Nothobranchius furzeri: one gene and its partners. The main gene of each other region encodes a partner of the protein of the gene in region 2 in a complex. Links are inferred from orthologs where the notes say so. Each region holds a gene or a part of one and is shown on either strand. Other genes may lie near its edges.

The links.
Region 1: the proteins of kifbp (region 2) and kif18a are in contact, whole or in part, in a cryo-EM structure (PDB 7RSI), measured with the Homo sapiens proteins. The link is inferred for Nothobranchius furzeri from reciprocal best matches to the Homo sapiens genes KIFBP and KIF18A. Residues at the interface, in NP_056449.1 of Homo sapiens: Ser150, Glu151, Tyr212, Tyr213, Gln216, His220, Gln238, Ile251, Asn252, Thr255, Gln258, Asn262, Gly414, Tyr415, Val459, Asp460, Leu461, Asn462, Pro463, Gln464, Leu467; in NP_112494.3 of Homo sapiens: Glu181, Thr183, Gln184, Lys185, Gly186, Arg274, Phe275, Val276, Glu277, Gly278, Thr279, Asn280, Ile281, Arg283, Ser284, Leu285, Leu288, Gly289, Val291, Ile292, Arg314, Lys317, Asp318, Gly322, Asn323.
Region 3: the proteins of kifbp (region 2) and kif15 are in contact, whole or in part, in a cryo-EM structure (PDB 6ZPH), measured with the Homo sapiens proteins. The link is inferred for Nothobranchius furzeri from reciprocal best matches to the Homo sapiens genes KIFBP and KIF15. Residues at the interface, in NP_056449.1 of Homo sapiens: Lys26, Tyr33, Lys36, Ile106, Glu109, Ile147, Ser150, Glu151, Glu153, Thr208, His209, Tyr212, Tyr213, Gln216, Gln219, His220, Phe224, Gln238, Glu248, Trp249, Ile251, Asn252, Thr255, Gln258, Phe259, Asn262, Tyr415, Val416, Thr417, Glu421; in NP_064627.1 of Homo sapiens: Leu187, Glu189, Ile191, Lys192, Lys193, Arg231, Glu232, Arg235, Arg271, Met280, Arg281, Leu282, Lys283, Glu284, Ala285, Gly286, Asn287, Asn289, Arg290, Leu292, Ser293, Gly296, Gln297, Ile299, Ala301, Val303, Asp304, Val305, Gly306, His312.

Annotation. Positions count from the first base shown.
Region 1 is NC_091749.1:64,378,643-64,389,066, reverse strand, and holds part of kif18a (kinesin-like protein KIF18A), read right to left. Parts: intron 9,607-10,424; coding exon 9,449-9,606; intron 9,262-9,448; coding exon 9,157-9,261; intron 5,698-9,156; coding exon 5,587-5,697; intron 5,437-5,586; coding exon 5,239-5,436; intron 1-5,238.
Region 2 is NC_091749.1:53,756,106-53,766,972, reverse strand, and holds kifbp (KIF-binding protein), read right to left. Parts: upstream 7,035-10,867; 5' UTR 6,998-7,034; coding exon 6,536-6,997; intron 6,425-6,535; coding exon 6,326-6,424; intron 6,043-6,325; coding exon 5,963-6,042; intron 5,895-5,962; coding exon 5,836-5,894; intron 5,757-5,835; coding exon 5,632-5,756; intron 5,515-5,631; coding exon 5,421-5,514; intron 5,246-5,420; coding exon 5,133-5,245; intron 5,019-5,132; coding exon 4,869-5,018; intron 4,308-4,868; coding exon 4,233-4,307; intron 3,744-4,232; coding exon 3,581-3,743; intron 3,506-3,580; coding exon 3,331-3,505; intron 3,240-3,330; coding exon 3,054-3,239; intron 2,972-3,053; coding exon 2,833-2,971; 3' UTR 2,052-2,832; downstream 1-2,051. UniProt on the Homo sapiens protein: Activator of KIF1B plus-end-directed microtubule motor activity. Required for organization of axonal microtubules, and axonal outgrowth and maintenance during peripheral and central nervous system development.
Region 3 is NC_091758.1:31,346,388-31,356,067, forward strand, and holds the end of kif15 (kinesin-like protein KIF15), read right to left. Parts: intron 9,652-9,680; coding exon 9,621-9,651; intron 9,357-9,620; coding exon 9,170-9,356; intron 9,089-9,169; coding exon 9,012-9,088; intron 8,929-9,011; coding exon 8,891-8,928; intron 8,802-8,890; coding exon 8,704-8,801; intron 8,605-8,703; coding exon 8,425-8,604; intron 8,311-8,424; coding exon 8,101-8,310; intron 8,002-8,100; coding exon 7,876-8,001; intron 7,788-7,875; coding exon 7,665-7,787; intron 7,584-7,664; coding exon 7,436-7,583; intron 7,336-7,435; coding exon 7,244-7,335; intron 7,170-7,243; coding exon 6,960-7,169; intron 6,856-6,959; coding exon 6,678-6,855; intron 6,586-6,677; coding exon 6,444-6,585; intron 6,339-6,443; coding exon 6,197-6,338; intron 6,119-6,196; coding exon 5,957-6,118; intron 5,890-5,956; coding exon 5,761-5,889; intron 5,692-5,760; coding exon 5,586-5,691; intron 5,521-5,585; coding exon 5,355-5,520; intron 5,273-5,354; coding exon 5,122-5,272; and 30 more. Other genes in the region: ATP-dependent RNA helicase TDRD9, read right to left, coding at 988-1,115. UniProt on the Homo sapiens protein: Plus-end directed kinesin-like motor enzyme involved in mitotic spindle assembly.

The DNA of each region.
Region 1 (10,424 bases), about 11 Mb from region 2:
AGGCTGCAGTCAGGTCCAGCAGGACCAGAACAGAACAGTCCCTTGCATCACTGTGAGTCAGAAGGTCATTAGAGACCCTAAGAAGAGCTGCTTCAGTAGAATGAGCTCTACGAAAACCTGACTGGACGCTATCATAGATGTTATGTTCATCAAGAGCAGCTGTGAGTTGTTAAGCCACAACCTTTTCCAAGATCTTGGAGATGAACGGAAGTTTAGAGATGGGTCTGAAGCTGCTATGGAGAGAGGCGTCAAGACTCGGTTTTTAAGAATTGGGTGGATTACAGCATTCTTAAACTAAGCAGGGACCTGACCAGAAACCAGAGAACCGTTAATTATGGAGAGCACGCTGGGACCGATGGACTGAAAAGCACTTTTAAACAAAGATGAGGGTAAGATGTCGAGGGGGCATGCAGAGGTCTTCATAGAGTTAACTAGTTTGGTTAACTCAGGCAAAGAAACAGGAGCAAAACCCATTCTAGGCTCCTCACTACCACCTGAGCCTGTTTTAAACACCATAGCCTATCTGAGTATTGCTGCTGACCATGCCCATCCATCTACGACCACAGTGAACCCATCCTTTCATGGCTACTTTCAGATAGATAATGCTCAATGTCACAAAGCTCAAGTCATCTGAAACAGTTTATTGATAATGACATTGAGTTCACTGGACTCTCAGCGATCACCACAGTCACCAGATCAATGCAAACAAGGACTTTTGGAGCGGGAGATTCCCATCACTGATTTGCAGCAGACAAATCTGCAACAACTATGTCCTGCTATTATAATAGAATTGTGGATCAAAACCTCTGCAGAATGTTTCACATCTGGTTGAATCTGTGACAAAAATGTTTTAGGGCAAAGATGGCAGAGGAGGTGTGCCTCGTAACCAGAGGGTTGAAGGTTCAACCCCAACTTAGTCTGTTGTTGTGCCCTTGGGCAAGACGATTAACCCACCTTGTCTACTGGTGGTGGTCAGAGGGACCGGTGGCACCTGTGTACTGCCCTTGTCAGTTGCGGCTACAGAGTAGCTCATCACCACCAGCAGATTTTTATCTTCACTGTGAAAAATCTGACAGTAACATTTCCAAGAAGCAAAACTTTTACAAAATGCTGGTGAAAAAAAAAAAACATTAAGATTTTGCAACACATCTGGAGCTTTTGCGGTGCATGGGTGAGAAAAATTGGTCACGACTGAAAGAAGGCGTTTTATCAACTGCATTAGCATAAATAGGGCCACCGCCTAAGGCAAACAACTTACAACAGAAACCTCTGTACAGCATAACATGAAGATGACACAATAAACAGCCCCAACTAAAGTAGCAGGCATTCTTCTGGCATACCAGTCTAGACACAAGCGAGGACATTCTTTCCAGTAAACATTGACCACAATATAAATGCCTCTGTATCAAAAAAGCAGAGGAACAGGGGTGGGAAACTTGTGGGTATTGTTTTGGATTTTACAGAACTGAGTCCATGGCTGCTTCACTTAAAAATGGCGGGTAGGGTAAAACATCGACTTTCCAATGCTGATGAAAGGACACCATATCAACCCAAAGAATGAAGTTGGTTGAAGGTGGATTGCATTTCAACATGGCTGTCATAGTTTTGCACAACACCTCCTAAATGCGGGCATGCGGCCCGCTTGTGCCTCGTTCCTCGAGACTTGTGTGTAAAATGAGACGTCTGCTTGACAGATTAATGTATGCAACTGGAATGAAATTATACCCAAATACTCAGCTGGCTCCCTCTTACCAGCTTCGTATTCAAGTGGTTACCTTCAAACTCCCATAACCTTAACAAACTTAATACCAGCTCCAATGTAGACAGATGATGTACTAAACAGATACAACTGATAAACACATTCAGTTAGCAGTAGAGGCCAACCGATATCGTTTTCTCAAGGCCAATGCAGATTTTTAAAGAATTTTGCTGCCGATGGCCAATATCTAAGGCTGATTATTAAGGCTGATATATACATATACGTTTTAGCAGCACATTGATTGTCAAAGACAACAGAACACTCAGTGTGTGCAATATAAATTAAGTAAATAAATCTCTTAATATTTATTGAACTTCAAATATAAAACAAACTCAAAACATAAAACTGTGTTGGGGTCCTTTATTCAGTCTAGTAGTCAGTTGGCCAGACAGGTGCCTGATTTTTTATTTTTTTAACAAATTTGCTTTTAAAAATAATTTCGGTCGATTACTGATAAAAACACTTTTTAATATATCGGCTGGCCTCTAGTTAGCAGTTTATCGTACCTGATAAATTCATCATGTTAGTGCATTGCCTGGTTAAATGTTATGACAATCTTTGATATTTAGCTTTGGACATTTAAGTGACAGCCGTTCCTATAATGTCATATCTTGTAAAATTAGGCCTAAAAACTGCAGTTTGTTGTAGGCAGTGAACCATAAGCACTTTTTATTAAAACGTGGACAATGAAGTTCCAGGACTTGGTTAAATACAAAACAGCACAATAATGTATTAAGTAAGAAATAAATTGATGCCTGATAAAATACAGAAACTGTTCACAGAGAAAGAAGGAGGATATAACCTGAGAGGGACACTAAACTTAAAGATACATAAATGATAAATGACTCGCACTTGAATAGCACCTCTCAAAGTAAGGACTCCAAAGCGCTTTACGCTACAGTGTATCATTCATCCATTCACACACACATTCACACACTGATGGGGATGAGCTACGATGTAGCCACAGCTGCCCTGGGGCGCACTGGCAGAGGTGAGGCTGCCGAGCACAGGCGCCGCTGGTCCCTCCGACCACCACCAGCAGGCAAGGTGGGTTAAGTGTCTTGCCCAAGGACACAACAGCAGAATTCTCTGTCCAGAGCCAGGATCGAACCTGCAACCTTCCGATTACTGTACAACCCGCTCAACCTGTTGAGCTACTGCTGCCAAGTTTAGAACATTAAAACAGTTGTGTATCACAATAATAGGGGTTAAATTATGGAACAATTTAGAAGAAGAAATCAAAGTAAGTACAAATATAAATGTGTTTAAAATGAATTATAAAAAACATTCTGAACAAGTATATAGTGGAAAATAGATGATTTATGTGGGTGTCCTTTATAGAGCCCTGCACTGAAGCCCTAGGCCCTCGGGCCGGGCTTCAGGCCAACGACTGTGTAATTACCTCGGACACGGGCCAGGCGCCTTTATTTTTAATCGAATTCATTTAAAAAATTGAAACACAAACGCAGCAGTAGAGCCCTGCGCGGGACTGTTTTCTTCATCCCGCTCCCGCTGAATTTCTGACCATTATCGCCTGCAACTGCAACGTGTGTGTTACACTCCCGCCCGCACCCGCAGTGTGCATGTCTACTCCCGCCCGCAACCGCAAAACTCGGAGAAATTATTACCTCACAATAAAAGACATGTATTGAGTTTGCGTCCTCTCTGGTCCTGGAGAAAACATGTCACAACTCGCGGCTCTTCCATCCATCTGATGCGGCTCTCCGTGCTTGTAAAATAATGAATGGATAATTAAATAAAATGCTTTATATTTTACTGAATTAATTTCATATCTGTAAGTCAATTCTATGTAAAGATTGTCTGCGTAAACCTGAACAGGTCCAACCCAGTCTTACTGTGAGACCGGGTTGACGGGTCACGCTTGTACGTAATCATATAGGCGCTTTATGAGCTGAAGAGATTCTGGGATTCTCCTCAGACGGCTCCTGGATGTGTCGCCACATTGGAGACAGGAACAAGCGCTATTCAGCCAAAGTTTCATAATCAGGGAACATTTTCTAAGTGACAAGTCTCTCTGAGCTACAGGGTTTGGAAAACACTCGCTTCAGTGGGAGGAACCTTCCCGCATGCGCTCTGGTTCTGCGACGCGCTCCAAGCCCCTCTCCACAACTTCAGCTCGCTGTGCACCATACGTACGCGCTGACAGTGAGCTGCGCTGAGCAGTGTCCAGCTCAGATGTTCAGATGGGAATCTTTTCTTGGGTGATTTAGCTACATCTGTGATGTGTGTAACGAATAAAATGTCAGTTCGTCTGCATGCGTCGGGGTAATTCTTTCTATTCTTTCTCCGTCAAAACAAACTGTCAAATACGGGAACTATCCAGTCAACACAAGCCCTGCTTTTAACTGTTCTGTTTTCTTGTGAAAATTGTTGGAAAGAGATAAAATTTAACTTGATTAACACCAGAGCCAGTGCGCCGTTATCTCCGTGACGGTAAACAAGGGAAAAACAAATTGATCGGATCCTGCATGTCTTTTAACACATTGGTCAGGATTGACGCACTTTGTTCTCATTTAGTTGGTTAAAAAAAAAAGTCGGGCTCGGGTCGGACCAGAGAATCCTGAAAACCTTTTCGGACCGGGTCGGGCTGGGGCTCCACCCCCTCGGGCTGGGCCGGACACGGGCTCAGATTTTAGGCCTGTGCAGGGCTCTAGTCCTTTATTCTAAGGAAAAGTAAATTGTATCAATTGTAAAAAGATGGTTTGGTGGTTTTTGGTGACTTGTACCATTTTGTTTGATTTAATGTAGGTTTTGTGTTAGATTTAGTAAACAAGTAAAAATTACTTGTATAAAGGAGTAGGGACTTGTAAGTTTCCACTTCAGCCTACTTCTTTTCAAACGGAGAAGAAAAAAAGGGATGATGATGTATTTTTTCTGTTTGTGGTATTTAAAAAAAAATAATGTATGTTTTCTTTGTTTGAAATAAACTAAACTAATAAAACAAGGCATGGCTGTGTGATTTCAGCCAACACATTCTCAAACCCAAGACGTCAAAATATGACGCGTGTGACCAAGCGTCAATATATGACGACGCCCCAGCGCGTCAGGAGACGACGCTCAGGGACAAACAGCTGACGCAGCGTCCCAGAGCTTCGGTATCAGACGCCGGTGGTGAGACGGACATTAGAACTACTTAAGCGTCCCCTCACCCCAATCCTAACCTCAAGGTTACAGTTTATGGACCTTAAGGTTAGGACTGGGGTGAGGGGAAGGTTAAATTGTCAAATAATGTCCGTGTGACAGCGCGCGTCAAAGTGACACCAGCGGAGCCACGTGACCCAGCGTGTCCCTGATCGTCGTCTCCTATATTGACGCTTGGTCACACGCTTCATATTTTGATGCCTTGGGTGTGAGAATGTGTTGTTTCAGCATAAACCAGCGCTGAACAGAATCTTCCAAACTAAAACAACGGTACTCTGTGTGAACATATAATGAAGATACAGAGCAAGACACGTCACCTTTGGGTCAGCAAGAGCGTTGATAACATTTCCTAGGGCAAGCAGGGAGCGGTTGATGTTAGCACCTTCTCGTAATCGCGCCCCTTTGGCGTTGGTGGCGCTGGCCCTCTCTGAGCCAGCGAGGTCAATCAGGCTCATTTTGGCAATGCAGACGTTGGGATTGAGACTGGCAGTTTTGTCCTGCTGCCTCAAATAGATCTGATAAATCAAACACAGAGCTGTTAGATTACGAAATAAATCACTCAGTCTTTGTATGACTTTTTTTTTCACCTCCTCATTTTAATTCATTACTTCACCTAGCCCTTCCCATAAAAAACTGGACTTTTAAGAAACTTTAGGCTTAAATACCTGAAACACAGCATGGGATCTGGAAGACGTGGCATTCATATCAGTGGGGTGCTGTGTTCTGTTTCGATTGCCAGAATCCAAAGCCTCAAGAATGTGGTCTGCAGATTTGGGCTGAAAAGAGATAAAAAAGTTTAACTGCATCAGATCTTCATTAGAAATCATTAAAGGCACCTGTGCACTACAATGAATGATTAGGCTCACTGTTTGGGTTAGTTATGCAATAGGGCTGGGTGCTTTAGCCTCAAAATTGTATTAAAATATGCGATTGAAGTTTCTGGTTTAAATAACAATGTAATCTCTACAAGGAGACTCCTATTTCTATTTTTGTACATCCTTGGAATTATGATCAGTTTCACATTACATTTTTATTTCAGCAGAAATATTAAGAAGCTCTTGTTGGGTTTGCCCCCTGGATGCACAGGAAGTGCTGCTTTTAGCTGCTGGTGGTGATTTTTATTAATGGAGAGGGGGATACAAAAGAAAATGCACAATTTCATGAAAATAATCATGTAATGCAAATATGTTAACTGTAAAAACACTGAACCACGTTGAAAATTTGTACACTTGGAGCTGTTTAAAGACAGCAGCAGATGTTAATCCATCAAGCCTGTAGAATGCAAACGCCACGTCTCAAATGCAAATTTAAGAAGCTCCTTCACACCTGAGGTCATAATTATTTAACTTCAACACAAACACTTTAAAAAGACTGAGAAAGCTCTTTAAATCAACAAACAACACTCAATGTTTACATGAATTCTAGCGTTGGTTCAACAGGTTTCCTTCAAATGATTCATTCATTTCATCCGCTTTCACGGGGTCAGGTTGTGGGGGCAGCAGCCTAAGCAAAGTGGCCCAGACTTCCTTCTCCCCAACCACTTGGGCCAGCTCCTCCGGGGCAATCCCAAGGCATTACCCTGCCAGCAGAGAAACTGTCCCTCCAGCTTGTCCTGGGTCTTCCTTTGGGTCTCCTCCTGGTTGGATGTACCCGGAAAATCTTACCAGGGAGACGTCCAGAAGGCATCCTAACCAGATACCCAAGGCCCCTGCAACTGGCTCCTGTCGATGTGGAGGAGCAGCAGGTCTACTCTGAGCCCCTCTTGGATGACCCAACTGATCTCTAACCCTTACTGCACACTGAAAGCATCAGCGTCACAGAAAAGCAGCGCAAAAGTTTACTCCAGTGCACACCGGGAGTCTCCGCTACGAAGCGTCATCTCAGCTGTGCTCCTCGCGAGATCACAAAATTCCTCAAATTTATGCCATCCGCCATTAAACCAAGAAGAAGGAAATCACATTCGATGTCAGTTGTTGGTCCTCTCCACTGCCATGGTTAAAGCCATAAAAACACACCGCTGCAATGCTGTGAGTAAATAAGCCGTTAGGGCACTTGCACTGATGTAATCTACACACACGCACACACACACACTTATATGAAGTCACATCGCTGCAATAGACTTATTTTGAAAATTAACTGGAAATTTTACACTGAAGCAGTGTGTGATTTCCTGTCTAGCCCTATGTTAACTGCAGGAATTGTTGCATACCTGTCTTAAGCGGCGCTGCTTCTGGGACGGGTCTGAAAATTGCCGCATCACGGCTGGTTTGAATCCCCCAATAGACTAACGGATTCTATCTGAAGCTGTGACGCTCCGCTGCCGTTCTGCACCACCGATGCTTCCACTGTGCAGTAGAGCCCAGACACTACATTTCAGCTGCTTGTATCCGCGATCTTGTTCTTTAGGTCACTACCCAAAGCTCTTCCGACTCAGCTCCCTCTTCCCTTCTTCAAATTAAATTTTATATATTGAAAGGAAACTACTAAATTGTTTTTCATGAACTATTATTTTGTACACTTAGAACATGGAAGACCTCCAGAGTTAATACTAAACATAGAAGGGTTTCTTTAAACAGCAGAGAAGCAGTTTTATTTTTATTTGTTTTAACTAGGGCCGGGACTTTAACGTGTTAATTACGATTAATTAGAAAAAAATAACGCGTTAAAAAAATTAACGCATTTAATCGCAGATTGCATTTCAAGCACGGCGGAACTTTTGTCATTGCACGACTTCCTCGTAGACTGAATATCACTGACGCACACAACAATGCACAGTGCTAATGGCTACTAAACGTAATAAAAACAGAAAGAAGTTGCCTTGCTTGGACTGATGCAGGATTTAGGAAACACGTCCGCCTCTTTTCTTAACTTGGGGGGGGGGGGGGAAACTTCCAGACAACAACGGAGTCCGTGTCGCGGACATTTTTCAGAGATAGTCTCTGCTGCAGCTGCCCGCCCGGTGGCACCGGAAACTTTACAAAAGTTGCGGTAAGCTATATTTTTAACATTTACGTAACATCTGTGCAGCGCTGAACGCACCAGACAGAATAATTCTGTGTCCTAACAGTAGTTTATGAAAGTAGTGAGACAAACGAGAGGCACCTGGCTGCCGCTGGGAGAACGCTCCGTGTTCTCACTACTCTGTAAACAGTTACAAACAACGTGTCTTAAAGTTGAAAACAGAAGTTTAAGTTCAAACAGAAACACTCTGAAACTTTTCTGATGATTTTCTAAACAATGCTGTCGGGGTATTATGTTTCTGAGACGAGTCTCTGTCTAAACATCACATGCATTACTATCGTTAAGCTGCGAGGTGTGCTGAAGCTGTTATCAGCTAAGGGGCGGATGCTTAAGTGCATCTGGGGCAGCGAGGAACGAGAAAGTTGTGATCAGGCTGGAGATCACACCAGATTCGCTGCTGCAGGCATGAATCTGCGGGTCTGCAGCATCCCCTTATTAACATCAGGACTTCCCCATGTAAGGAAGGTCCGCTCACCTGTTCGTCAGATCATTATTTCCTCGCCATGATCTTTTATCATCCCATCAACCTCCAGTCATCCAACTGAAACCAGTTAGTGTTCCTGATCATTCTCAGAATATGTCACGCCTGCTCTGGTGTTAAAAGTTAGTACAATTAAGTCCTAGATCATATTTGTGCCTGCTCTACTGTCATTTTGAAGGATTATTATTTATGTGTTTTTACTACATTATGAGTAGAAATGCTAATAAAAACTCAATTATACAAACAAGTGAAACTGGAAAAATTAGAATCTGGTGCAAAGTCAAATTTATTTCAGTCATTCAACTAGACAGAGAGACTATTTAAAGGCTCAGGAACCTTCTATTTGTAATTATAAATTTTAGTTGATTTGGGTTTTGTTTCATATCACACAGTGACATTTGAAATAATTAAAATGCATTTTTTTATTAAAAGCTTTAGTTTACAGTAATAACCATGTCTAATGTTCGATTCTCTGTCTCAAAATTTTAATTAAAAGTTTTACTTTGAGAGCACATTTTCCTGAACGATTAAAATGCGATTAATTGAGATTAATTAATTACAAAGCCTGTAATCAATTAGATTAAAATGTTTAATCAAGTCCCAGCCCTAGTTTTAACATCTAACCTATAACTAAGATTCTGCTTTGCAACACAATCAGAGGGAAATTGAATAAAAACCAGCTGTAATAAACTAACAGAAGGGTTCTGTATTTATCTTTATAAAGTCTACAGACCTTGTGCAGCGTGAGACCCTGAACGACCACTCCTTTAGAGCCGTCCTCTCTAACAGCAAGAGGCCCAACATTGGCCAGCAAGTCTCTGATCTGTTCGTTATAAACCTGTGAAAAATAAAATAGAGGAAACCAAAACAAATTTATCAAAACCAGTCTCACAATAAAATAAATTACTATTAAAAAGGGGCATGTATAAATACAGCGGCAGTGTTTTTAACTAAATTAGTAAAACTTCACTTTTACTCTAGAATTGACTAGTTTTATGCATTTACAAACAAAGGGATGTACACACCTCAAGATATGAAAATGCCACTGCAAACTCTTTCTCCTCCTTGGCATCATCCATGCGCTTGAACAGCTCTTTCATTGTGCGGTACATGACCCCTGGGTCATTTTGTGAGCCTAACATGGTGTGTGTTTTACCCGCTCCAGTAGCACCATATGCAAACACTGAAACAAAACAATAGAAAAATAAAGAAATCTGTGCAAACAATAATAAGTGAACACTAACGTAGGAAGAATCCTAACTAGGAAATTGGAGAAAAATCATGCAATCTGCAAAAATCATAAATGAATAACAGAAAACTGCTAATTTAATATTCCAATTTAGATTATTGTTTGTACATAATATAAATGGATAAATCCAGGGCATCTGCAGGTTGATGGGAGCCAAATTTAAGACTTTAAGACCTTTTTTAAGGCCATTTTGACCAAATTTAAGCTTTTTTTTTTTAAATTAATTTCTGCTATAATTTCCAGCTAATGCCTGGGACCGGTGCTAACCATGTCGCAAACGTGGGATTAATCATCCAGTTACCATTAAACTTGCACTTCTCCACGGCACAAGCTCCCACTAGCTTAACCAGCTAATGTGCTCATCTAAAAATAGCCCCCTTTCACAACCAACTGAATATGTACGGTTCCGCTTACGCCAACATCATACACAAAAAATGCTGAAGACTAACTAGAAATTCACAAAAATGAATAAAATAATCTAGTTTATTGGGTCTTTGGTAATTTAAGACCTTTGGAAACTGTATTTAAGGATTATTTGTAATTTTTAAGGATTTTCAAGGCCTTAAATTTGGAAAAGTAAATTTAAGACTTTTTAAGACTTAAGGACCCGCGGATACCCTGAAATCAACCCTTGTCTGAGCATTAGGCAGATAAAACAACGCCTTTAGTATTTTAAGGAGGGGATAATTTATACTGGTGGCAATTATGTTAAGGAAATCACAACTTTATTCAGGAGAAACTTTACAATTATA
Region 2 (10,867 bases):
ACTGTGTGTTTCTCAGCAAAATAGTTAGTTTTATATATCTTCATGTTGTTGACGCAGTGATATTTTGGTCTTGTATTTTTGTGTTTTTGTGTTTTTTTTTCTTTCTGCAGGAAGCAGACTCTCGTTCATTATTTTTGCTTATTCTTGTGAATCCCCCTCCCCACCTCTTCCTTCTCTCTTCCCCTTTCTCACTCACTTCTGTCTCCGTGTCCGTGGGGATAAAATATTTCTAATAGAGTTTTGTGGCATTATAGCAGAAGCTATAACGTTCCACTTGTGAGAGTAAAACCGCAAGCCTTGTCTTTGGCATTCAGACATCAAATGTGATTGCTTCAAAGCCAGACAGGACACGGAAAAAAAAGAAAAAAGGAAAGAGGAAAAGGAGGAAGATCCTTTGGAGGTGGCAAGCAGCAGACATCTTATGTCACACGTACTAGCTGACATCATACATCGTCACTTTGTTGATTCAATTAAAATGGCGGATGAGAACGAATCTTGGTGGGGCTATGTGCAAAAAGATTTCCCTTTTTCATTCTAATTATTAAGACGAACAGTTGGGAAATAACCAAAAGGATCATTCATTTCCCTTCCCCCAAATATTTGTTTGTAATCATTTGGGCACTTGAGCCATTTCTCCACCGTCTTCTCAAAATTCCTTAGCAGCAATGGATTGTGGGTAATACACATATACATTCTCAGTGGCCTTGTGGTATGAGTGTCTGCCCTGAGTTATACCAAAGACTGGGACCCAAGGCCTCCCTGCTTGACACTCAGCTTTAAGGAGTAGGATTGGGGGATTTAAACCACAAAATAGTTTCTGAGCAAAGCCACTGCTGCAGCTCACCGATTCCCACGGGGATGGGTCAAACGCAGAGATGAATTTCACCAGTGTTTGATGACTAGGGAGTGGGAATAGGGAATCCCCCATAAGTTCACACCAACGTGTGCTTCGGTGAAGTGTGGATCAAGGGTGCAAAAAGGGTGGGGCCAAGTTCGGAACAGTGTACGCACTCGCTGGAACCTTACAAGACTTGGCTGCAGTCCAGTGCGGTGCAGCCACATCGGGCATGCTGTAATAACGTAAAAAAACGTATAAAATACCGGCTTAGCCAATAGCAATGGCTGATTCAAATGTAGAGCAGACTTTTAATCTGAAGGAAGTGCTAAACTGATGTTTTGGACAGAGTATTTTTATAAGATGCACTGAAATGCCAAAATAATGACTACACATATCCACAGCACTAATAGACACTCATGTATACGGTTAATGAGAAAAACAGTAAATTTGGGGGTGACTTGGTGTTCAAATCCTTAACTATAGTTCAAGTTCAGTGGTTAAACTCTGGCCTGATTAAGGTGGAATTACATTAATAGAGCCTGTCTGATAGAATTCAACAGGATCTCAAAAAAGAAACAAAGCTAAGAAAATTCAAGAACTCTCAACATTTAATATTTATTAGTTTTAAGGAAACTTTCTGTAAAAAAATGGGGTTTTGATTGGTTAATTCATTTTTTAAGAAGGTAGATGATTATTTTTTAAATTGGGCAAAGTTAGATTTTTTTTCCTTTAATGTGTTTAATAATTACAGACTTGATTAAAGTAATACAAATGCACATAAGTTATTTAATTTTGAAAAATATATTTAATAATTAGGGGCTGTGCAGTGGTTAGAGCTGTTGCCTTGCAGCGAGAAGGTCCTAGTTCGATTTCCGGCCTGGGATCTTTCTGCATGGAGTTTGCATGTTCTCCCTGTGCATAGGCTTCCTCCCAGTCCAAAAACATGACTGTTAGGTTGATTGGTCTGTCTAAATTGTCCTTAGGTGAGAGTGTGTGTGTGTGCATGATAGTTTGTCCTGTGTGTCTCTGTGTTGCCTTGCGATGGACTGGCTCTCTGTCCAGGGTGTACCCCACCTACTTGCCCGTTGACTGCTGGAGATAGGCACCATAGATTTATCTGAAATGCTGATTTAAAGTCAAATTAATTTTAAATGTTAAGAAAACATGTAAATAAATGTCATCACCAATCACACCCAGTTTATAATGAATAACATGGTTTTTAAAGAGTTTAACTTTTATTTGCAAATCTTACTCTCATCTGCAAAGAAACAAGAGATCCTTCAAACCTTAAACACAAGACTGTGGTCCCATTTCATGACTTTGATAAGAAACACACTAGTACTGCAGAATACTAGATTACTGATTTATTCTGCTGACTTGCAGAAGAAGAATCTGAGAACTGGATCGACTGGACTGCTCCTCACCTCAGGGTGCTCATTGTCAACGCCACAAGAATTCTAGTTTTAGCACGCACCAACATTTCTGCTGCAATCAGAGAGGAGCTGAAACAATACAACTTCTGGGGACTTGACAGAAGTCCCACCAGTTAAAACCAGAAGACATTTACATAGTGCAATAATTATAAATATGAACTAAATTCATACATATAAAACGTCAACGCACCTGCTATGAAAACTGAGAAAACGCTGCTAAATGATTGGTTTAGTGATAAATCTACAAAGGCTGCAGCTCTGCAGATGGAATGTAAACAGGACATTTGGAAACAAAATCATGCTTTAGTGTTTAGTTGCCTTTTCCTTTGATACTTTTATTTTGATAGTATATATAGCCTGTATCGTACAGAGGCATCTTTAAAAAGCAGCATGCTCACTACACAGAGGAAAACACGTCACTGAAAAAGGTACACAGTTAGAACAGGGATCCAAAGATGTAGCGTTTGGTTCCTCTGAGTGCGGAGCGTCCACTGACGATGACCGACTGGCACATCAGAATAAAGCCGAACGCAATCGGTTCTGCAGCCATTCAGAAGAGGCTCAGTTGTTGGCGGCCATCCTCGCTTTGAGGCGGTTGATTTTGAGAGGGAGGAGGCCGACCATCTCTTTGCTCAGCTCCAGCTCCGTCTCCACGGCAGCTGCTGCCTCAGGGTGAGCCTCGCAATACTGCACCACGTACCTACACAACAGGACACAAGGTATCACCGCACTGTTGCCATTTCTTTATTTAAGCTGCTTGTAAATAAAAATACAAGACGTACTTGTAGTTTTGCAGGGAGCTGTCGAGGTTTTCCAGCTGAACGGCAGGTGAGGAGCTGATCAGTTTGCTGTGCAGTCGGGCTACTCTGAACCTAGCCACCAGAGCTGGTCTGAGCACCTCCTCCTCCAGGTGCTCCGGAGGCTTTCCCTCGGGAGAACACAGAGAATCCAGGAACATCTGGAAGAACCTGGAGATGAGAGGATCACACAAATCCTTCAGGAGAGCGTTGAAACAAACAGAAACTCAATCTGGTGCTTCGAACCCAAATGCACTCCTACTTGGCAGAAGCAGAGCAGAGATGGTTGAACTTCTTAATGGTGTGGCTGTCTGAGGCCTGTGCATCTGCTTGTCTGTTGGCCAGAGTCAGTTTGAGGTCCATCATGTCGCTGTAGGTCTCAGCCAACTCAAACATCAGCTGTCGGCGGATCATTAGGTAGTACTGAGAATTCAGGTCTGGAGGAAAAACAAGGAGAGTCACAGAGGAAGACTTTCTTAAGAATTTTAAAGGAAAAACAACAACAGCTGTACCGTTGCAGATCGGCTCCAACATGTCGACTCTTCGTTTGTGCATTTTGCAGCGACGCTCCAGGTCTTCCTCAAAGAAAGCCAGGGCCCGGAACAGAGCACTGTGGTCCTGCAGAATCTCGATGTGGTCCGTGACGTAGCCGTCCATCTGATAGTACTCTTTAGCCTTGGAGATGGAAGGAAGGAAGCAGCTAACCGTCAACCACAAAAACAACGTTTCACGCAGACACATTAGCTCTGTGGCTTTAAGATCAGGTAATGTCCCTAAAGTGCAGGTTAAGCATCTTTATGAAGAAATCATGTGACTTAATGACACAAAAACACATTTTAACAACAGAGCAGAACCAAATCCTTCTTTTCACTAAATATTAATGTTAAAATCCTTTTGAAATAATTATTTTGCAATCAAAATAAATTTTATTTATTCGGACAAATTAACATTTTTAAAAAGGCTTTTTTGAAAAAATGTAGAAAACTTGTGCTTTTTAAAAATTGGAAAAATCAAATTTATAGTTTCAAATACAAATGATGTTCTATGCTGGTAAAGAATTACTGTAAGGTGTTTAAACTCCACATTCCTGCAGAGTTCCTCTACTTGTGATGTAATATACGAGTTTCAGTCAATTAAACAGAGACGGTTTCCTGCTGTGCGTACCTGCGTGACATAATTCTGTCCCACCAGAAAAACCGATCTGGCCTCCGTGAAGTCCAGAGGTAGCAAACACATGACCTGTAAGAGACGGAGGACGCAAAACAAACCAAAAACACAAAAAAGCAGTCAGCAAAGTGACTTAATAAAATCTATAGAATAGCGCCCCCTACTGACAAGGCACCCAAAGTCCTCATTAATAGTTTTTAAGATTCTCTTATTATATTAAACATTCAAACTTATATAATGAAAAAAACAAACAAAACATAATGCACAGTGAAATGAAGGAATTTGACAAAAATAAAAATGACAAAGCTACTAGGGTTGCTCGACATTGGCCTTTTGTTATCTTACAGATATCCGACATCTTCTGACTCTTAATTTCTTGATACGAACATCTCATTTCTTCTATCATGCATGCTTGAATTTTACACACTTTTTGTGTAATATTTTTTAAATACAAAATCATAATTGTGAGATTAACTTAATCCACTCCATGTTTCTTTACTACATTAACGCAGTGTGTGTGTGTGTGTGTGTGTGTGTGTGCATTTAAAGAAAATGTAAACAAAGCTTTATGACCTCATAAAACAAAGACCCACACAATAACCAACATAAAGTTTGAACTCGGGTGACTCAGACCTTTTCTTCCACACTTGCAATAGAATCAAAAGTGTCTTCAGAGCCAAACAGCAGAGCACTCTTCCTCCCTTTTTCTTCCTCCTCCTCCTGTCGTCGTCTCGCTCTCCTCAGCTCATCCTGACGATCCGTATCCAGCTCACCGATGTTGTCCTGCACGAACACCCACAAGACTTTCATACAAGACTTAAAAACCAGCGTGAAGATCTGACAGTTAGAGGAATTTATTCCGTTTCTCTGGTTTTCGTTAACAGGCACAAACAGTACCTCCAGGAGTTTCTTAGCATCCTGTAGGAGATTTAGACAATATTTAATCCAACATCTCGCCATCTCTGCTCTCTTCTGTCTGAGCTGTTCTCTGCGCTCGCTCTCCGCCTCACCTGAGTCGGACAGAAAGAGACGATCGGATGTGCCAGTGACCAAAGAGAGGAATGATAAACAAGTCTAGAGGAACAGGGTGAAGCAAGGTGAAGCAAGGAGAGGTGAAAACTACGCCGGTTTACTCGACTCTGGGACAGGCGTTTAAATAAAATGTTTTCATGAGAGGGCTCTTACTTTCCTGAGCTACGGCCTCAGACGGAACCTCTCCAGCCAAACCTGAAACAACAGTAGCTGCTGCAAGGCAATGCCTGCCCTCCATGTATCGGCCCTGAGAAGAACACCAGCACAAATGCGAGACGCTTACTAAAGTTTACAACAGAAGAATCAACATCCTTTGAGATTTTAACTCATAAGTCAACAATTTCCCGTTGCACCCAAGTGGTACCTTTGGGATGTAATACTGAGACAGCGCAGCTGCATTCAGAGCCCACTCCATCGGGTTGAACTGGTTTAACTGTAACTGTCTCTGCAGGGTGCAGTGGCAGTAGGTGGCAGCACGCTCTTTCTGACCTGAGAGACAAACGATGGTGAAACATCCATATGTAATCTAAACTACCCGGTAACGAGAACTTCAGCCACACACACTCACCGAGGTTTGTATACACTTGAGCGAGGTAGTACATGGTGTGGGTGTAGGCCAGCTCGAACCTGGTGGAAGAGAAATATAATTTAAAACGTGCAGAGCATGCTTATGGAAGCTGGGGTTCAGAAATTACCTCTTGATCCTTTCCTGGTGTGTCAGCAGGTTCTCCTCTGCACTAAAGTACTCCGTCATGTCGGTGGGAGGAGTCCCATCCTTCACGAGGCACAGAAAACACAACAATCCCAGATGTTGGGGAGGATTTGACCTCATAAAATTTCAACTGCAGTGTTTGTGATTATATATTATATATACGAGACTCATTGGCCGCGTAAAATACACAGAAAGGGTCGTGAGAAGCGTGATGACAGAACAGGAACAGAGCAATGTGGTCCTGATGAACAAGCGTGCTGCAAATGAAATGTCCAAATAAAAACAGTTCTGGATCAGCTACAGTTTGAGTGAGTGCACCAGCAGCTGCTCAGAAAACCTAACTGACCTCCTTCATGTAACGCTGGTAGATGGACTCCGCTTTTTCCAGGTACTCTTGAGCCATCTCGGTCTCATCTCGGCCAGCCCAGAGGATGCCCAGCTGGTTCTGACGGAACGGAGAGCAAACACACACACACCATCAGCTTATGTACTCACACACCTGAAATGATGCCAACTCCGCCATTACTAAACCAGATGAAACGTCATCGTTCGTTACCCTGACATTAATGAACAGCGACACATTCTCCGACGACACCCCGCATCTCTCCAGCAGCTTCATGCAGTTCATCAGATGCTCCTGCCCGGCTGACAGCTCCTCCGTGTCCACATGGTTGACGCCCAGAAAATATTCCACAGCTCCGAGCTTGGCCACTCGCTTCCCCGCTGGGGAGTCACCGCTGAAGCCCCGAGAGAAGACACCCTCCTCCTTTTGGTCGTCCACCGGCTGCTCCGTCGGTAGCTGGTCCCCGCTCTCTCCGCCGTCGGCGTCCTGCTCACCGTCACCAGCTTCTAAACTCTTCAGTGAACAATAGATTTCTCTGAGAAGTTCCCGGGCTTTGTACTTGGAACGGAACGGGTCGTTCTCTGGGTCATTTCTAGATTCTACTTCGGTGAGATTTTGGGCGTTGTTGAATTTGTCGCATATAGCTCTCCACTCATCACTATGGAAGGACGCCATGTTTGTTTTCTTCTGGGTCCTTTTATTGTTGCATTACTGCCGCCTGCTGGACGAATCTGGTCTCTACAATCAAATGACCTCAAACAAAACGGTTACTTTTTTCTAAACCTGTGAAAATTCTACGTTTTATTATAAAGAATACCAAAACAAGAGTTTATTTAGATTTTATTTTTCTCCCCCAAAATCGTTAAAGAGCAAGTCACCCCAAATCAACTTTTTTTCTGATAAACTATATAAATGTGTATGTAATCGCGCTGCAGGCACATGTAGTCAATAGTTTAGCACTTTAGTGCATTTTAGTTAAAATTTAAAATTTCTGCCTGAAACTGTCAGTGTTGTGTCATTGTCAGGTAAAAACTGCACTACATTTGAATTTAAATCTGCCATCGCTATTGGCTAAGAGGTGCCCTAAAACGTTAGGACATTCTAGAACATTCTTCTTCCGGCTCTTGGAGGGTGCAGACGCTTTTTTTCCTCCTCTCCTCCATATGTTATCCTCAAGGCCCTCTGTCTGTCTGTGTGTGCTGGGTGCATGGCTGCTTCTGCATTTTTCTGGAAACTGAAATTCACTTAAATGGATCTCGTCAGTTGGTCTCTCAACGTGATTGATAAAGTTTTTTCAACGATGAGAACAGGAGAAGGGGCTCCTGGATGCCCCGCTGGGACAGACCCAGTTGGACACATCATGGACTCCTGGAAACAGTGGAACTTGATTTGTTTATCTCAGCTGTCTGTGGAGGACTCTGAAGACGTGTGGGTATTCGTGGTGTTGGTGTCAGGTTTCCTGCTCATTGATCTTGGAGGCTACCTGGCTTACCGGAAAATTAACGAGCTGTCGAGGATTATTGGCCTGATCCCGGAGCTCAGAGATGGTTTGCACCGCGCTGTGAATTCACAGACTCAAATAATTGTCGAGATGAATCGTAAGCTTGGAACTTTGGCCGAGATTCCTTCATTGGCACAAAAGGGTGCCATCAAGGAGAGAGTGAACGAATCAGCACGGATTGGGATAGATTAATGTCCATTATTGGGATTTTGAGAGTTTGAGGACCAACAAACTGTAAGACAGAGAGGAAGTTATCTCTGTCTAGCCCCAAAACAATTTCTAATCGGAATCTGGAGCCCTTGAGCCTGCAAGGCTCCAACGAAAACTCCCCCCTCAGAAGATATATGGAATGTGCCGTCGCTATGGCAGCTCAACTCTGTCTCCTTTCCCAGCCTGGGCGGGACTGCGGGAAGGCCGCTGAAATGTTCCAGGGTCACTGCAACTAGGGCTGCAACAACGAATCGATAAATTCGATGAAAATCGATTACTAAAAGCGTTGGCAACGAATTGCGTCATCGATTCGTTGTGTCGCACAACTCTTCCAAAAGCGCCCCCCCTTCCCGCCCGCCGTTGCGCGCAGACCAGAGCAAGTCAGATCAGCGCGAGGGAGAGCCGCAGATCAGCGCGAGGGAGAGCCGCAGATCAGCGCGAGGGAGAGCCGGCAGATCAGCGCGAGGGAGAGCCGCAGATCAGCGCGAGGGAGAGCCGGCAGACTTGCGCTGCTGCGAACCGGTTCCGCATTGTTGCACAGCGATCCAGGCAGCTGCTTCCAGCGCACGGTCCATTCTCAAAGTGGCGCAACCAAAAAACTATAATTAGCACACGATCGTTCATGTCCGCACATGTTCTCTATTTTCTGTCTTATTTGTGCCTGAAGCCCTCTGCTACTGCGGAGCTCATCACCTGTGCTGTGGTGATGTCACCTCACGCAGCATCGAAAACGCGCTCTGCGCTTTTCGGTCAGGAGATCCCTTTGACCTGCTCAAAAGTAACTGATGAGGTGAAAAGGTAAGAATCCAGGCAACAGATTTTCTGGAGAATTAAGAGGAGATGCAGGAAGATGAGAGACAGACAGGACAGGAAAATAGTTCAATAAAAACAAGAAAACAAAACAAAGTGTTGAAAAGTCAAATGTAGGTAGATTTATCACCACTACACGTTTTTACCTATAAAACAATAAGTTATACACATGTCATATTTATACATCTGATACAATTCAGATCACCTTCAAAACTCAGTCACACACCCAGGGCCGTTTCAAGACATTTTGGGGGCCAAGGCAAAATGCCCCCCCCCCCCCCCAATAACTGGGCTCCCCAGAAGCCTCTGTGTAATTCATGCCCTCTCCAGTAGTGTTAGTTATACAGTGTTTATAAAAGCCCCTCAGACATTACTGACATGTTCTAATATTATCAGATGAAAAACTAAATTATCAGACATGCTGTCTCATCTGCTTCTTTTCTAAACTTGCAAAAAGTAACAAAACCATTTGAAAGCCACTATTTGTGGATTCTCTGAAAGTTTCCATGGAGTTTGTGACAACTTATTTTTTCATTGATCCTATCGTCTAATCTCACAGCTGAAACAAGCATCCTTAATAATCTGTGCACAGGAAGCTTACCGATGCTGTAGTAAAACAAAAGGTATAAAAATTTATTATTAATAAAACCTTGTTGCAGCACTAAAGCATAAAAATTAGATTTTGCATTAAATATGCAAAATATTTACATATGAATTGTTTTAGAGCCCTTTAATTGGCAGAATCTGATATTAATTTAGTTCTTATAAAAAATGGGTCCCAACATGGTTTGTGTGGCGTTGCCATAGTGTGACGTCATAGGCACAGATCCCCTGTCCTCTTGTTTGGAAATGGAAATATGATCACCCTACATTAAACAAACTGTCCACCCGGGCTTTTGCACTGCACAGAGACGCTTCGCTGCCTACGACTGAACGTCAGTTGAGAGTCAGTCTCATGCAGACTGACCAATGAAGAGAGGGCCTCAAGTTAAGACCCTCTCCTCATTGGTCAGTCCACACGAGGTGGGTCAAAGGTTACTCTGGGCGGGTTACGTGTTGTCAGGCATTCAAGTATTGAGTATATTTACTGCATATTACAGTAAAATATTCTGTATGTGACCACATTATGGTGATCCTCGGGTCGTGATGATGGAGCCCTTGAATATTGTTGCCCAGGGTACAACAAAGTGTTAATCTGGCCCTGGTTCCGCCGTCACATTCCCGCAGAAACTGGTTGATCACACCGGGGCCAGACTACTAGCATGTGGTTTTACAGCCACAATGTCCTCAGAAGCAAAAACGCTTTTCAAAGGGAGGGAGGAGTCCTAACTGTTGCTGCAGGCGTGTTGTGTGAGAGTGCAGTTATATACTGGTTAATATATTTTTGGGTTCAGTTGCTTTCATGTGGCCTAATGTGAGTCTATTTGGGATCATTGGAATGATCAGCAGCATTTCTTGATGTGACTTTATGGCAGTTGCCCAGGGCATCATCGCAAGGAGGATGGCATTCATTTACTTTTGTTTTATTTGGTATTTTTTCAGTCATTTTTGGAAATAGTGATCAATTTTGATTAATTCACAGCCTATGTTTAATTACATTTAAAATAAATGTCAACAGATGAGATCAAACAAAACAGATGAGAATTGCCCTTAACTTGGACCAAGCATTTTAGGTCACAGATAGATGTAGCTTAGGGTCTCTGTCTATACACCTTATAAGACAATTTAGGTGATGGCATGTTGTTTTTCTGCTATTGAACTGTTTTCTAATAATGTTGTGTTAAATAAAGTGAAGGAAGGAGAGAAATAACGTTTCCCTAGCAGTTTTTAAAAATTTCCCCATGTAATCCGATTAATCGATTAATCGTGTCGAGACCCCATCCGATTAATCGATTATCCAAATAATCGTTTGTTGCAGCCCTAACTGCAACCCTCCAACCCTCAATGCTCCTCCCCCATCCACATTGAGGTGACATGCGCTGCTTATTGTGGCTGCAGGAACTGAAGTGGGGATAGTCCCAACC
Region 3 (9,680 bases), on a different chromosome or scaffold from region 2:
CTTGCCCTCTCAGCATCAGACAAGTTCTTGTATTTTTCCGAGTGTTTCTTGTCATAATGCCGACTCAAATTGTAGTCCTTAAACACGGCAATCTCCTCCCCGCAAACCAAACACACGGCTTTACCTCCGACTTCAGTAAAAAAAAAAAACTTAGTCCAATTTTTGTTGAAAATCCTGCATTTGGCATCTTCTTTTTTTTCTTTGCATGAGCGGCCATTTCTGGGGGCTACAATCACGCAACCGCGGGCACTTGTTGCTATACGTATTGCGTCATTGTGCACGTAAAAAACAACTTCAAAATAAAAGCAATGCAGCCTTAGTCCATGCATGAGGTAAAAATGAGAAAATACATTTATTTTGTAATTTCCAATTAACCTTACGCGGGCCAGTCAAAGTCAACCAATGGGCCGTATGTGGCATGCCCAGGTTTGCATTAGCGCCTGGTTTTCTAGAAATTAAAACCTTGTTTTCAAAAGTGTAGCATGGATTGGTGGTGTTCTACCCATAGTCATGTATATAAACATGTGTTTATATGTTTATATAAACACATGTTTATTTACAAATCCACAGTTCTACCCACCAATGTAGTCAAATTGGTATTGCACATGCGCAGATTGAATTGAAGTTAGCTCAACACCACCTCATGGTGTGGTGAGCCGAACCAAAAAAAAATTAATAATAAAATAAAACATATCCACGAAGGGTTTTTTCTAAGGTAAATTGTGATTCAAGGCAAATATTTCCATTCATACTTTAAAATTAAATAATATTTTTCACTAAAATTTGGCAAACACTTGTAATGACTACAACAAAATCAGATACAGGTTTTCAGATGTACAATTGTTAAAAACAGCATTTAAACGTTAACTTTATACCACGCCTGTCGCTCGTTTTGAAAAAAAAAAGTCAATGTCGCCATGTTTCTGTGGCTGCTTCGATTTCAAATTAGCTTATGGTGACAATTACGCTAACCGCTAACTTTACTACCTTTCTTTCAACGACGGCCCATCATTCTTTCTTCCTGCAGAGTCTTCAATAAGTTTGCTGCTCCCAGAAGTGGGCGAGGTGGGGGTGAACCAATTCGAAATTTGTTCAGCAGTGATAACTTTCTCCATGGTGCGACCAGAGCTGGGTGAGACTAGAATGGTGGTTCGCACCTTGCCACGTGCCGGTGCCACGGATAACAAAACTAGTTTGCTTTCGTCCCATAGGCGCGCGCGTTGCCCTCTAGTGGTCGGACTCAATATTGCAACTACAACTGATTAGGCTGATCCCCATAAGAGCATTCAGCATGGTATACTAAAACGGATGACATAAACTTTAAAAACTCTAATGTGAGGATGTTTTTGTTCTTATTTATCTAATGTATGAGCTAAGTAAGGGTTTGTCATTCATGGCTGATTTAGCAAACTCAAGCCTTTTGTTTTCCTATGTTAATATTTAAAGTAAGGTTAGGCAATTAATCAAAAATGTATCATTATTGAAATTTCTGACTCTTATCAAGATAATTATTCCCATGTCAATAAATTTGATAATAAAAAAAATGAAAAGATGTGCGTAGGTTGGCAACGTTCATGTCCCTCAATACATGTGACAGCCTAGAGCACAACTTTTGTTTCTGCACATACATGTAGTTATCGTCCATTTATAGTTATCGAGGTGAACTTCTCAATATATCATACTGATTTTAGGCCATATCGCCCAGACCTAATTTAAAGGTTAAATTATTCTTCCCACTGTTTTGATTCATTTCTTGAAACAATGTATGCTGTTTTTTCAACAAAATCACACAATCACCTCTACTCAAAGCTGACCACTAAAAAAATTTAATAGTCTTTTTTGAATAAGGAGAACAGTTCAGACAAAAGCAACAGGGAAACCAAATTCTACAACCTGAGATAAAAAGGAATAATGTCCAAATGTACCTACAAAGTAACCAAGTCCTAATGTTACATTTCCATCACAAATATGAATATGTTCGGCTCAGTCTAATTTGTAAGAAAAACCATCACTACCATCATCAACAGTTTATTCACCAGTAACATTTAATTTACATGAAAAAGACAGAACAAAAATCAAATATGAAAATATGTCTTTATATCAAAAACTATGAAAAATAAAAATTGGTTTCTTGCCAAGAGTTCAGTCCCACTTGAGGTTTACATGGTCTCCATCGGTGAGCATACAGAGCTCTCCCGCATTAGGCTAATTTCTGCTCTGAGCTTCTCGTTTTCCTTGAAATCACATAAAAGGGACAAAGTTAATTAACATGATCCATGCTTGAATTTCATACTGCCCCAAATAAGTAGATCAAACAGAAGAATCCTTACTCCTTCAAGTCTGGTGTTTTCCTTTTTCAGCTTAACCAGATATTCAATCCTCTGTTTGTGGTTCTTGTGTCCAACAAGTTTCCCGTTCTCCTCAGAAAGCTTTAGATTCTGCTGACGGAGCATCTCATTCTCCTGCAGAAAAGAAAACTGTGTTATTGTTGTTTTAAACCGGTTTTTGGGTTTCTGTTAAAGGACAGCCGAGCTCCAGTGCACTAACTGAAACGACTAACACCAGTTGAAAACGTCAGAGGGCAAAAGGGCTGATGTCTTCTTTTTTATTTACAAATCAGCGACTTTTAGGTTTATGTCGAGCAACTTTTAGTTGAAGCGGGTCAGTTGTGCACTCAAAATTTCCTTTTCTCACCTGGAGTAGTTTCTCCTCATCATAAATCCTCTGGTTGATCTCTCGTAGCTCCAGACAGCGGTTCCTTAGCTCAGTGGTCAGCTCATGAACACAGGTCTGGGACTTGGCCAGAGTGGTTTCCTGCTCCTGCAGCCTAACCGGCAGGAAAACACCAATCAGCCTCAAAGGTGCTCGTGTATTTTACCTCAAAGGCCACTAAACCAACCTATACAGGTGCTCACCTCTTCTGAGTCTCAAACAGTTTCTGCATTATTTTGTTCTGTTGATAAATAACAACACAGAAATTGGCGTCATCATTCAAAAGTAAACAAGATGAGCAGAGAAGCAGATACGCACCTTCTCAGACCGTTCCTCATGCAGATCTTGCACCAAAGTCTGATTTATGGCTTCATGAAGCTCACTGAAAGACAAGTTTATCCATTTCACTTGTTTCACATGTTATAAAATGAATTGAAGTCAAATTAAACGAAGGGATCCAACCTTTTACTAGTATTGCTGTTATTCCTGGGCTCTGTGAGCTGACTCTGTTTGGTGTAAAACGTGTCTAGTAAACCCTGGATCTCCATCTGGACAACCTCCTTGTCAGCCAGCTCCGTCTGAGTTAGAAATAAAATTAAAATATAATTCTACTTTTCCAGTTTTGATGTTTAACATTTGCGCTTGCCTTCAGCCTGTGGATTTCCTCGTTCTTTGCGGCCCTCTCCGCGTTCAGCTCTGCCAGAAGAATCTCCATGCTCATCATGGAGGAGCGTCGGCTCTCCAGCTCCTGCTCCTGGCTCTCCAACAAGTCGTTCAGGTTTCTGTTGAAGCTGCCGAAACCACGAGGAGTCTTAAAGAAAAAGAAAAGATGTATAAGATTCCCCCCGATGCATTCCGGGAGCAAAAAACATTCTGATGCTGAAATAAAAGAAGGTTTGATTCATAAAAACAAAGTTTTTACCCGATCCAGGGATTTAGGTGTGACGGTACTCTCAGGGGGTTTAAAATCTCCATTTCTGATGGTTTTCTCAACAGCTTCTTGTTGTTGTTGCACCTGGAATGAAACAAGTTTAGAAAAAAGTGAATAATTGCTTCTAATGTGACACCAAATCCATTTTAAAATCTATCTTCACCTTCTGCTGTAGGCTCCTTATGATGGCCTCCTTCTTAGCCGTTTGCTCCTGAGATGTTTGGAGGAGGATGTTCTGCTCACCTAAGACCTTAGTCAGCCTGTCAACCTCTTCGGTGGCGTACGCGACCTCCTCCTGCAGCACCTCCACCTCCAGAAAAACATTCATTTTCATTACAGCAGAAATGGAGAGATGAATAGAAGTCTGTTCTCTCTTGTCTCAGGGCTAAAGAGAATGTGGTGCATCAACAAACCAAATTAACCAAAACATGTTGGATGTTTAAAGGACTTCACAAAAACGTAAAAACAAACTACCTCAATCTTGTTAGAGGTCATTTTTCTCTCTAAAGTTTCCTTCAGTTCACAGATTTCTGTCTGAATCTTTTGGTTTTGCTCCCTGGTGTTTTCTCTCTCACTGCAGGCAGCATCATATTTAGCCTGGAAGTCAACAGAATTATTATTATTATTATAAGCTTGGTGCTTTATACGGTGCATTAGAGGGCAGGTGACTTACCATCATGTCTCTGATGTCATCACTCAGGTGGATAATGGTCTCCTCCTTCTGGCTCAGCTCACTACGAAGGTCTTTGGTTTGGTTCATGAGGTCTAAAAGAACATCCTGTTGGAAAAATACAGTAGAAAGTATTTCTAAAAGGAACAGATGTAATGACGTCCTATTTGAAGATATATATATATATATATATATATATTTTTTTTTTTTACCTTATCCTGTTTAATCTTCTGTTCCAAGCTTGTTATCGTTTCACTGGCAGCGGTTAGACTCTGCTCAAGTTCGGTGAGTTTGGTTGACTTTGAAATAAAAATAAAAACAAAAACAACCAGGTTTAACGACGCATTGCAACTGAAAACCTGGCAATTCTTTCTGATCTGCATATATGTATGTATGTATGCATATGTGTGTGTGTGTGTGTGTGTGTGTGTGTGTGTGTGTGTGTGTGTTGTGTCCCGACCTGCTGATGATTTTGTGCTGTCATGTCTGAAACTTGTTTTCTGAGCTGTGCGTTCTGATCCATGGTTTCTAGAAGCTCTCTGAAGGAAAAAGGATCAATCGTGTAAGTTTTATGGTAAAAGGAGGACTTCAAAAGTGTTTTATTAATAAAACAAATCCAGTATTTAAACTGTGAAGAACTCACTTCGAAGTGCTTTCTTTGTTTTCTCTTAACTGGGAGATCAGACTGCTTGTGCGCTCTCGCTCAGCTTGCAGAGAATGATTCAAATTCTAAAAGAAAAAGAAAAATCTAAGGGCCAGAGTCAAAAAACAGGTATTTCTAGACTAGACTATATTTTACTTCCTCTACCTGTATATCTGCTTTCAGCTGTTCTATCTCCTGCTGCTTGTCACACAGCTGCTGACCGGCCTGGTCGGCATCAAACTTGGCTTCGGCTTGGAGCTGGTCGAAGGAATCCTGCAGGGTTCGGTTTTGTTCCAGAAGTTGTTCCCACTCCAGCCTAGAAAGAGCATTTAGCCGATTTTAGCACAAACCTACATCATACCCACAACAGACACGTCACACTGTTCATTTATACTTACTGGACTTTGTCCAGTTGGAGCTGAGTGCTGATCAGACTGTTGGAGAGCTGACTCGCTTCTTGCTGATGTTCACTTTGATCGTCTTTTAACTGGTTTTTCACAGACGCCAGCTCTTTGTCTGACGACTGCAGCAGCAAGCGCAGATCATGGATTTCGCTCTTCAGAACTGAATCGAGAGGAAACAGCGGTTAGGGTCAAAACAGGACATTCACTAACCAATCAGAGCCTCACCTTCTGCAGCTCGCTGTTCAGACTCAAGCTTCTCCTGCAGGACGCTCATCTTTTCTTGGAAGTTGAGCTGATCTTTGTTTCTGTTAGCTCGTTCGGCAGAAAGCAGCTGCATCAGGTACAGACCGTTAGCAGCTAGCATAAACACACAGCATCATTACATCTGAATAAACTCTACCTCCTCTTTGTGGTCACATTCTTGGGATTTCATGGCGATCTGCTCCTCGAGTTTTGCAATCTGCTGCAGCAGCTTGCTGTTCTTCAACTCCACTTCATCTAAACGTGTTTGGACACAACTCGCTTGCTCCTGAAGAGCAAAAGCTGATGTCAATAGTTGGTTTTTTGTAGTAAAGGGACAATCCGCGCTCCATTACCTGAATTTGATGCAGCTCTTCTGTCAGGGCCATCTCAGTCATGTCAGATGGGGGCTCCTCCGACCAAATGTCAGCCTCGTCATTCCCGTTCAGATGTTGTGGACTGGAGAGCGGCACAAGGCGGGAGCGCAGGTTGTAGGATTTGGTGGGCGTAGAGAGAATCTAGTGTAACAGCAAAAAACTGCATCAACGTCTAATCGCAACAAGCAACGAATGCCTCCGAGATGAAAACGAGCTCACCTTTAGAGTTTCAACGTGAATCCTGTTCAGCTCAGAGACTTCTTGATTTTTACAAGCATGCGTGGCTTCTAAAATATTTTCCAAATGCTTGTTGGACTTTTCAAGGTATCTTTTCTCGGACGCCAGTTGGGATAACTGTTTCCTAAAACACAAGATGACAAAACAAAACTGTAGCCCAGGCTAAAGCCAGCCGTCACATTCACCATTTATCACAGACTTTGACTTTAAATAAACATTTTATCGTTACTTTGAAACTTCTTTGTACTCCTCAAAAGCCTGGAGGGCAGCCGTGAAGTCGGACTGTTTCTGAAGCAGTTTTGAATTCAGCTTTTCGATCGTAGCTGTAGAATCAGCGTCAGTTCCCAGTGCAGATGACATGGTTGTGCAAGCTGTGGAGCAGCATGCGACAGTCACACGTAAATGTAAACAATATTTAACTTTGCAAGAGTTTTTTTTTCTAATGTCATGATGATAATCTTACTTCCTGTGAGTTTTTCTGACTCCAGTGCCATCTGGAAGGCCTCCTCCAGCTCAGCGGAAACTTGGGCACAAACATCTTCAGCGTTCATCACGGATTCAAGAGAACGTAGCATACGGTTCTCCTCTCTGAGGCTGTAGTTTTCTGCTGCATATCGAGTCATCTTAGGATGATGATCAACCTTATAGTGCAGAGGAGGGAAATTGATTTCAGATGTAACTTTAATCTGAGTTAAAAAAGACTTAAGAAATTAGAAATAAATCAAAGAAAATTTTTATTTTTTACCTGATCGCTCAAGATCTTGATCTCTTTTTTCAGCTGCTCTATCAAAGCCTGAGACTCTACGTCCGACAACAAGCATTGTCCTGCCTTCAGCTTTTTCTCTAGGCGGGAAATGTGTTCTTCTCGAAACCTGATGATCATCCTGCTGGAGTGGATGAACTTGTCTTTCTGCGTCCAGGCTTCTTCCAGCTGCGCCACCTTCTTCAGCAGCATCTGAGTGCAATCACAAAGCTGTTGTGTAACTTCCTATGAATGCTAATAAAAATAAATAAATTAACCCCCTTCACCTTCTTCTCATCCTCTTGCTTCCTCCACAGACGAACGGCAGACATTAACTTTGCTTTATACGAAACATCATGTTGAAGTTCAGCTGATGGACCTGATGAGAGAATTTTAAAATAATAAACTCATAGCCAAACCTCAGCTCTAACACAGATAACATTTAACAAATGTTTGGTATAGGTAAAGTAAATAGTTACCCATGCAGGGTTCAGATCCCCCTGGTGCTGCGTCTCTATCAGAGTCCACTCGGTGAAAAGACAACGCCTGCGCAAGCTGATCTTTCAGTTTCCTCACTTCAGCCTGCAACTGCTTCACATTTCCCTGTGTGTCCTCGTTAATGACAGCCTGTAAAATAACAACAAGGTAAAACAGCAACTGCCAGAATCTTAAACCAAAACATTACATAGAGGATTTAATAAAGCACACCTTGTTTTTGATCAGCTTGGCTCTCTGAGCAAACTGCAAGGTAGACAACGTTTCTCCAAAACACTTTGAACCAGGGTGGACATTAGCTATGATGTAGGTCTTAGCATTTCCTCCGAGAGAGTCCTGACGTAACAGCAAAGCCACACTTGTTCAAATTTTCTACATAGATTCCCCAAATCTGACGAAGGACAATTTCATTTTGATCACTTACCCGGAGCAGGAAGGTGAGTTTAGAATCCCTGTAGCAAATGTGGCGGTGCTTTCCATTAGACACATCCACCAGCGCCATGATCACCTGGCCCAGGCACATGAGGGAGCGATTGATGCTGCTGGCTTCCTGCAAAAGAAGTCATTCACACAGCAACTGTTATAAGCTGAAAGAAATGATTGCAAAGACATTGCAGCAAAGCTTGAGCATTCACACATAAAACTTTACCTTGAGTCTCGATCCCTCCGTGTGTGTGTCTTTCTGTCTCTCGGATCCTGCCAGATCCACAAGATTCAGCTGAGACATTCGGATGTTCACCACCTCATTGACAGATTCTTTGGACTCCAAAGTCATGCTGAACACAGCGTGAGATCTTGAGGACTCGCGGTTCATGGAGGTGGAGGCCACACGCCGATTACGCCAGCCCATAGACAGCACCTACATGGTCGCAAATGTAAGGGTTTACTTATAATTGGGATCTGACACAATAATAATCTAATTTTACAGAGAGTAAAACATGCAGTCACTATGGATCAGTGGTGTATAGTATACCTTGTAGGCTTCAGCTGCTGAGTTCACAAACTTCTCCACAGCTCCTTCAACAAACACACCTTTCTTAATGTTCTCCCTCAGGAAAAGGCTTGCCGAAGCTGTGTCCAGAAGATCATAGATTTGTTCGTTGTAAATTTCAATAAATGAACATTTGCAAAGGAAGCTCTTGGACTTGGAAGACTATCGGGAGAAAAGGAAAGAAACACAGGATTTATTAGAAAAATCAATAAAAAAAACATTGGTTTGAAATATTTTTGATGAAGAAACATCACAAATCACCTTCTCCACTTCTCTGTTGATGAGAAAAAACAAGTACTCAAAACTTCGTGGAATTACCCCCCTGAATTCATCTGTGAAGTTATCAAACTCAGACGGTCCTGCAGCGAGGGTTAAAAAAAAATCACTTAACTTTTTTTTTTTTGAGAAAACTCAACTTTAGATTTTTGAGAAAACTATAAACTCTCACCAAGCATTGTAAACGTTTTTCCAGAGCCTGTTTGTCCACTGCAAGAAAAAAAGTATAATCAATGCTCAACATGTAAAACAAAGCCATCAAATTGAATATTGTACATAAAAATGACACTTACTAAGCAAATATGGTACCATTATATCCATTCATGCAGGACTCAACAATATTCTTGGCCACACTGTTGAATACAGACTCCTGGAACACAAAAATTAAACATTTTTCCCCAAAAAGTTTACATCCTATGTATGTATTTAATGCAATGACGGTGTTTCAAACCTGAGATGTCTCCATGTCAGCAACATGATCGTAGGTGAAGGTTCGTGGTTCTGGTTTGGAGAGCAGACGGACGGTGTGTGGGGAGGTAACAGAGAGACACAGATTCTGATCTCCATCTGTGGTCAGCCCTGTTCCCTGGGTCAGAGGTCGCACTCGGACAAATACTTTAATTGAATCACTGTCGCCACTGTAACATCAACAGATTATTTTCATAAAAAAATAGGATTCAAATTTTAAGAAAATTGCTAACAGTTTATTAGTTGAATTCATTCCTGATAGTTGCTTATAAAGCTGGTGATTGAAAGTATAAATGCTTCAGAAAAAAATAAAAACATTTGCATGGGAGCATTGCATTAGCTGTTACTAGAAGACACAATTATCATCTACAGTTTAGTTTTATTGCTACTTTTTGCATATTTAGCAGGGACAAAGAGGCCTAAAGGTACCTTACCTTGCAGCAAGGAGGGTTGAATCTCCAAAGCCTGGTAACAAAATGTTCAAACGTTCGTTA